Linked DNA regions of Styela clava. The protein of the gene in region 2 interacts with the protein of the main gene of each other region in a biochemical or structural test. Links are inferred from orthologs where the notes say so. Each region holds a gene or a part of one and is shown on either strand. Other genes may lie near its edges.

Region 1 (3,930 bases), on a different chromosome or scaffold from region 2:
GTCCCGAAGTTAGACTTGACAAAATATATATACCCGATGAGAAACAACTGCGCAAATCAGACTTTTGCACCTATGTTGCGATCTTCTATGACTAAACCATAGATTGTATAAATTCGAACTTGCTTAGGTGAATTTGGAAATTTTATGCTGAAAAAAACCACAAGCCACTTTTTCTATGATTGTGTAATGGCAATTTTGAGAAACAAAAGTCAATTTCAACTTTTCCAAGGGATTGTACGTTAGGAAACTCTAGTAATTTCCACAACTGCTTTGCAATCCTACTCTTCTTGTCCGGTTTTATACATAAAATACAACTCAGTTCAGTATACTTACCACAAATCTGCTTGGAGCGAGATTGAACGATAAATCGCATACAAAAACATATTACAAACACTGACTGTATCCCAGTACTCAGCGCGCTCATCGTGATTTCCACATAAATGCCAGAAAGGTTCAAATAGAGGAAGACTACCACATTTCAAGATAAGATAGCAAGATTTAAGACTCAAGACATGGCTCAATTGTTCCAGGTACACAGCAACAATCCTAATTCAAAAGTCTCAAACTGCAGCCTCAGTTGGTTTATTAGAAATCTCACAAATAAAAACACTACTTTTTAAATCCATAACTTTAAAATTACCGCTTAGGGATTAGCACTAGTTTCAAAGCGACCAAATACCTACTCCTGATAATAAATTCCAGCATTTTCCACAGAAGCTCCAAATTCCGAAACAATGATGCTATTTCCAAAACGAAGCCTTCAATACTTAAATTTCGAAAAATGTTTTCATTCCTAATACGTTAAGAAATCCAAATCCTATGCGCACAGTTTAAAGAATCCTTTTTCTCCAGATTCCATAATTTCAAACGTGGATCCTAATCCATCCAAAGAAATGGTATCCTATCCAACTAGCGGCAAATCCCCATTCGCAAAAAGGATCCAAAGATCTGTCAATTTCAAACAAAAATAGAATTAATAAGAATGATTGGATAGGGAACCACAAACATCAAATAAAATAAATTCCTTCCGGGCCTCCCAATGCTACAATCATATTCAAATTCCAAAATCCAGGGATTTCAGTATCCTAGTCCAATTGAAGACATGTGATTCCATTTCACGATATCCTATATTCTTTAGACAAGATGATCTCCAGTAATGGATGATCCAAGTTCTAGACAAATTAACAAAAAAATGTTATTCAGCTTGGTACGAGAATTATTTTGTATACACAATTTGCTTTGCATTTTCATAAAATGCGCAGCATGTTTTTACATGCTATCAAACTTTAACTGGGCAGTTTGTACTGATATACAAAAATAAAAACTTGATTTAAAATCATCGAGATCTTGATCGAGAACGACGAGGAGAGTAAGACGCAGAACGACGTCGTTTTGGTGAGCGAGAATAAGATCGACGGCGAGGGCTGTAAGAAGGGGAAGACCGTCCTCCTCCACCACCACCCCCACGAGCTCCAAAGCTTCTACGACCTCGACTGTTGGACCGAGATCGGGATCTTGAGCGTGATCTAGAACCACCACCACCACCAGCTGAAGAGTCAACTTTGACCCTGATGTATGCAACTTCTCCCTAAAAACAAAAACACCATTAGTAAAATATGCTTGAGAGACTTTAATAAATATATTTGTGATCTAATTACTTCGTGAGACTTGAATTTGGTATCATCCAAATGTTTGACAGCAAACTTCACATCTTCTCTGTTGACAAATTCAACAATTCCAGTTCCATCCCTGAATACATCTGCATAACAAACATCACCAGCTTCTCTCATATGATCTTTTATGTCTTGCCAACTTCCAGTAGGCGGCAAACCTGAATATAAACATAAACCTGAATAAGACTGGATTCTCTACAAATGAAAAACTTCTTGTTTATGTGATAAAAGGTACAAAGCAACGAATATATACCTGAGATCATAACTCTGTGGTTTGTCCTTTTGGATGGAGGTCCTCCTCTGCCTCTACCAGGTTCATATCTTCCACCACCGCCGCCACCACCACCCATAAAGTGACCGCCACCACGCATTGGCGGCCCACTGCCTCTAGGGTATTCAACTCTAAGTCGATAACCATCATAATCATATCCGTTCCTCCCTCTGATTGCATCTTCTGCATCCCTGGTAAATAAATTCATGAAATATTATCGACTTGATTGTATGCATACTACTATACTAGCAAAGTAGTAAAACTGACCGATTTTGCAAAATTAAATACTTCAAAAAGCTAATACAGCATGATTATAATACAGTACTGCAGTATGAAAGCATAGTTAAAATAATAAAAAAAAGTTCATAAATCAGTATTCTGGTACGGTAGTAGACTATACATACAGCCATATGGTACCGTACCTGGAATCATTAAATTCGACAAATGCAAATGGTGGCCCTTTCCTGTTTTTCAATTCAACAAATTTTATATCTCCATATTTGTGAAAAAGGTCTTCAACATCCTTTTCTCTGACATCAGGAGGAAGATTTCCTACATACACTCTGCTATCTCGGCTCATATTTTCTTTATGTTTAATCAATTTTATTCCAAGTATAAACCTGCAGACCAATTATTTGTTACAAAAAAGGAGATATACTTTAAAGACAACATAGGTGAACAAGAAGACGATGCAGAAACTCAAAGTGATTTCGCACCACTGCCTCACAAAGAAAGAAACTTGTGTTCTTCTTAATGGCCGCAGGGCAAACGTCATTTCCGCCTTTCGTGTGCTGTTGTCAGTTTACAACGTGGTACTTTTCGGTTGCTGGTCAGCGTATTTGAACGCAATTCCGTTTTTGTTTGGATAAAAATAAACTAATACAGATTGTGCCTTATGTATGTATTTTTTACCTATTTTGGCACTATCAAATATAATATTTGGTCAAGCATCGTCACACTTGTTGTTGTATACCATAAGAAAATCTGGCAAGTGAAATATATGCGGATGAATACAGCAAAATGAGGAGATTAATTTGCTCGCCATCCACATATCAAGCACACGGCGAGTGGCGTATTTCAAAATGCAATCGAATCACACATACATGCAAATAATTTACGAATTTGTCATTTCATATTAAATCATTTCGTGGTTCTTTTGTCTCGGGGAAAAATATGAAATATCCTATTTGAATTTTGGGAGAAGAAAAACACCAGCAAAAAATCCAAAAATACACTAAAACAAGTCAATATTTAGGACGTTAAAAATATGCTTGAGTGAGAATAGAACGTAAAAAGAGTTATTGCATAACATGTTTGATATGAGCGACTGGTTAAATATTATTTATTAGGTCGCCGTAAACCTTTTACTGTAAAGTGGTTTGTTGCTGTAAAGTCATTGTTCCGAAAACAAGGATTGGCTCATAGAACGCCCATGGCTATGAACTGTGGTGGCCGGATTCTAAGGCTATACCAGTTGTAAGGCCCAATTTTAACAATGACGTCATAAAACACCGTTGGATGCATTATGAAGTCATATTCGGGCTTTCAAAGATATATAAAATATATTATGACATCATCAAAATTTTTGAAATGGGTGATAAAAAAGTTAATGATAAAAGAGATATAAAAATAAAATATAATAATTATTAGATTCGTTGTTGAGCAGATCAATATGTATAACCATATATCGTTATTTTTTTTTATCTTTTTAAAAATTAAGGCTTTTTAATTGTTCAAAATTGGGTACTTCAAAAGTATGTGAACCAAGATGTGGCGGATAGTATAGCACCAGGTTAGGGTTAGTCCATAATTTTATTCCGATTTTCCTTATTTTAGTTATATTACGAGTTCGGGACTAGCCAAGTGACTCCCGTAGTATTTGTACCTGAAATTTTATGACATTGTATGATCTAATCAAGTGGCAAATCTCTACCTTCTGCTCAAGCGATACTTGGGAGAGATAAAGATTTTTTGTTTCATCAGCCA
Region 2 (3,930 bases):
ATTGCGCCATCTTGGCGCGCATACTCCTGGAGGTCCGATTATATAAACAAAATTAGACAACTAACCTGCTTTTCTTGCTTTGACCTCGCTTTTCTTTCTTCCGACTTCATTTTAAAATATTCATTTGTGGCCCGAAAATCACATTTACCTAGATCTGTTATAATCTCCTTTTCCTTGCTGGTCATAACCTTGAAAAAAATAAAATGCAATTGTCAATCTCCATTATCTAATTCACCAAAAGTCATCTGTCAATCTCCATTATCTAATTCACCAAAAGTCATCAATTCAATAATACATAGTCAGGTGTAAATTACCCAAACAAGAGAGAATTATCAAAGTAAAGTTGACTATCTCAAATTCACTAAATTATAAAACTTTGAAAAGCTGATAGAAGCATGAATTCCTAATCTAAATTTGATCTATCCATCTATCTTAAAAGTATTCAATACAAACCTTGCGCCAGTCATGAAAAAAATTTTTATTGAAGATTTCTTTCGAAGTATAATCGTGGTCCAACATTTTAGCATAGAACGTCATTACCTCTTCTGTTTCTGGTTCGAGATGCATCACTTTCCCTACAAAAGCATTGATGAAACATCAAGTATTGCTTATTGTATTGGCACAAACTGAGGTTAAAAATAAAATATATGTGATAATGGCTATGATTTGCTGCAGAGTTGTTGCTTCCAAACTTTCTTACCGCCATATTTGAAAGGAACAGAACTTGGCAGAGGTTCATATTCAGGGGCAAACATTGGTCCTTTGTGTTCAAGAGTTTTCCATTTAATTCCATCATCAGTATCCTTCTTTTCTTCCCACCACTTCCACTTTGAAGCTGCTTCCTCCTCTTCTTTCATTTTCTTTGTTTTCTTGAAGAAATTAACAGAATTTAAATATTGTACCAATCCTTGACATTACCTTTTTTATACACATGTATGCCATAATGCATTTCCCCCAATATGAGAGAGCCATAGAAAAATGAACCTAACATTCTGGACCATATAAAGACGTTGCTTTTAGTCTACAATTGAACACTCACCTTTTTTGTCGGACTAGACAATGTAGAGGAAGGTTCGGCCTTCGTTTTAACTTTTTTCTAAAATAGAAAATTCATTATGACATAACATTTATTTTAAAATATATCAATAATCAATATCAAATCAATACTAAACCAAATACTTCTCATCAATTCTTCCAACGTTGTACAATGTTACAATACTGAAGGAGCCGGGCAATAAAATAAACTGAGATTTCGGTAATGTTAAGCGTAAAACAGACTAAGGCTATATCGAATGACCATTTCCTGACTTACAATATTTGGCTTCACATCATTTTCTTCAGCTTTTCGTTTCTTGGCATGTTTTTCCTTTTTCAACTTCTTCTTCATTCTATAATTGTTGACATGAAAATTATATTTGATGTATCTGGACATATATCATTCTGGTTAATGAATTTTCAACACATACCTCCTGATTTCTTCATTATCTCCATGATTAGTAACCCCTGAATTCTGATGAGGCTAAAAATGAATTCCAAAGTTGTTACGGTATGATATAAATAAATTGCAATTTAATACAAAAATTGGAAAAATAAAATGCCAAATACAATTTAGTGTTTTCCAAATAAAATTTTGGTTGCCCGCCCCTATTACTAACCTCTCCAGAATCCATTCTTTCTGTTTTAACTTGCATAACACCTTGACTGAAAAGAAAACAAAATCTGAGTTAAATAATTGCAAGTCAAGATATGATTGAGGGCAGGGTAGGAAAGTGCCAACCCCTTTATTGGCAAATATCAAAACCAAATTCAACTCTATGAAAAAAGAAAAGTATAAACAGGGAAGAAAACACTAAAAATTTATATGACGATCATGGACCAAGATAAGATTACTTTCACGAGATAGAATTGATTGCAGATAATTCAACTAATAATGCAATGAGTGATATAATTTACTGGATTCAATTAATACAAAGCATCAGCAAGAAACTCAATTTAAAAGATCTTACTCTCCAGCATGATTGGCAGTATGGTGTTCTGGTCGGTGCTCCCTTTTAATTCTTATTCTTTTCCCATCAGGACCAATTTTTGGTTTTCCATTTGAATCAAGTACATATTTGTGCTTACGATCTTTATCCTGAACAAAATAAATGACTATTATTAATAAGGTGCATGGACAACTTGTCTAGATTATTTCTTAATACAATTATCTAATAAGGCATGCAGTGATATATCACAGCCATAAAATATTCCAATTGATTTGGATTTCATTTGATTTCGCTGCATATTTTATTTATTTTGGGTTTACTCATTTTATAGAATATTGAAGTAGGTATTCATGAATTGAAAGATATCATTAAATCTGAGCTTGTCACTTCAAATCAATTTCATATATTTCAAAACTCTTCTATTACATACCCTACCTTAAATATCTTCCAGTCCCATTAAAGAATTATATTAATTATTAAAAACAAACAAAATTTAGAGAACAATATATCAAAAATAAATTCAACCTTGTGATGCTTATGCTTGTGAGGCGAATGTAATTTCTGTGGTGATGAACCATTCAGTGTTGTTGAGGAGTGTGCGAGTTCCATGGAAAGCAAACTAAAAAGGATTTTAAATTTTATAATTGAAAGATCATTCAGTCATTGCTAATGCAGTCATAAACCCATTAAAAAGTAACAAAACATTTAAAAATATAGAAATAACATATGCTATTTCACAGCCTTGCTAATAAAGTACGGGTACTGACAGTAGGGCTATTTTCGAATAACTTACCTAATATTAACAGTGAATAGTAGACGATCAGCGTCTGTCTTGTCTGTAGAATCAATAGAAAATGACTTCGCAAAGTTTTTTTCTTGGTCGTTGCCCTTGATTCAAAAACTGAATGACGACTCCAATGAGTAATGAAACCAAATTCGTAGTTATACACTTCAAGGCAGTGGAGTCGTAACCAACAAAGCAGACAAACGAAGAACCACACAAGGCAAACCAGAAGACAGTAATGGCGTTCAAAAAAAAGAACAAGTCCGACAATTTCCGTCTGCGCATGCGCACAGACTTAGCTTCTTTACCTTTTTCTTTGCCTGTGTTACGCAAACGGGTGTCGCGAGAAAAAAGTTAGAGTCTTTTGTCTGAGTTTAAACCTATGTTTTCGTTCAGATGTGCGCTGAGTTGGCGTGAGTGCGCTTGTAGTTTTATGAACGCGATTTGTCGATTCACGCAGTGAACACGAATCACCGTACTAACATTCTGAGATAAATTTCAATGTTGCTGCGTGTGGTCATATGTACATGCAGGGAAATCAAAGTCATTTCACGTTGCAACCAAACCGCATTGTTTCATCGCCAATTTACATATGCAATAAACCCAAACACATTCGATTTTTTCTGTTACGAACCTTCCTTTTTACGCATTGACGACATTTAACCACTTATGCATTTCACAGTTAGTTAGAATTATTAAAATCCCATAGATTTTCCCCACTTATACCATGGAATATCAGACCTCAAGTACAGAGTGCTGTCACCACAATTCCCAGTAATATTATGAAGAATATAAAGCATATATTCAAAGATGTCCATACACAATAATTTCATATGTTTTGAACTTGCTTGCTAGTGGTGCAATTGTCCTATACACTGCCTCAAACTATATCTTTTGAATTATTTAGTTGTTCTTATCCACTAGCATAAACCTTCTGGCTATTTTAATAACATTGTGGATCTTCTCTCTCATCAAGAACAATGTCTTCTGATACTTGGACAAATTTACAAAAGCTGAAAATGAAACAGGAAAGTTTAAGGGAAAGAATACAAAGAAGAAGACAGGGCCATAAAGGTGTGTTTTCCTTCCAAGACTTGATGGATATTTTTGAGTGATTACTATTTTCATGAATTTTACACATTTTGTTTGTCTGTTTTTATA

What was found.
Region 1: the proteins of DNA topoisomerase I, mitochondrial-like (region 2) and serine/arginine-rich splicing factor 1B-like form a complex in vitro, tested with the Homo sapiens proteins (2 studies listed by BioGRID, with this or other methods). The link is inferred for Styela clava from reciprocal best matches to the Homo sapiens genes TOP1 and SRSF1.

The regions. Positions count from the first base shown.
Region 1 is NC_135257.1:13,136,364-13,140,293, reverse strand, and holds serine/arginine-rich splicing factor 1B-like, read right to left. Parts: upstream 2,668-3,930; 5' UTR 2,525-2,667; coding exon 2,367-2,524; intron 2,136-2,366; coding exon 1,927-2,135; intron 1,832-1,926; coding exon 1,659-1,831; intron 1,589-1,658; coding exon 1,337-1,588; 3' UTR 567-1,336; downstream 1-566. UniProt on the Homo sapiens protein: Plays a role in preventing exon skipping, ensuring the accuracy of splicing and regulating alternative splicing.
Region 2 is NC_135263.1:8,555,141-8,559,070, forward strand, and holds the start of DNA topoisomerase I, mitochondrial-like, read right to left. Parts: upstream 2,987-3,930; 5' UTR 2,779-2,986; intron 2,605-2,778; 5' UTR 2,595-2,604; coding exon 2,511-2,594; intron 2,135-2,510; coding exon 2,007-2,134; intron 1,702-2,006; coding exon 1,656-1,701; intron 1,520-1,655; coding exon 1,467-1,519; intron 1,389-1,466; coding exon 1,313-1,388; intron 1,097-1,312; coding exon 1,040-1,096; intron 870-1,039; coding exon 701-869; intron 576-700; coding exon 454-575; intron 189-453; coding exon 66-188; intron 1-65. Other genes in the region: N(6)-adenosine-methyltransferase catalytic subunit METTL3-like, read left to right, coding at 3,750-3,843. UniProt on the Homo sapiens protein: Releases the supercoiling and torsional tension of DNA introduced during the DNA replication and transcription by transiently cleaving and rejoining one strand of the DNA duplex.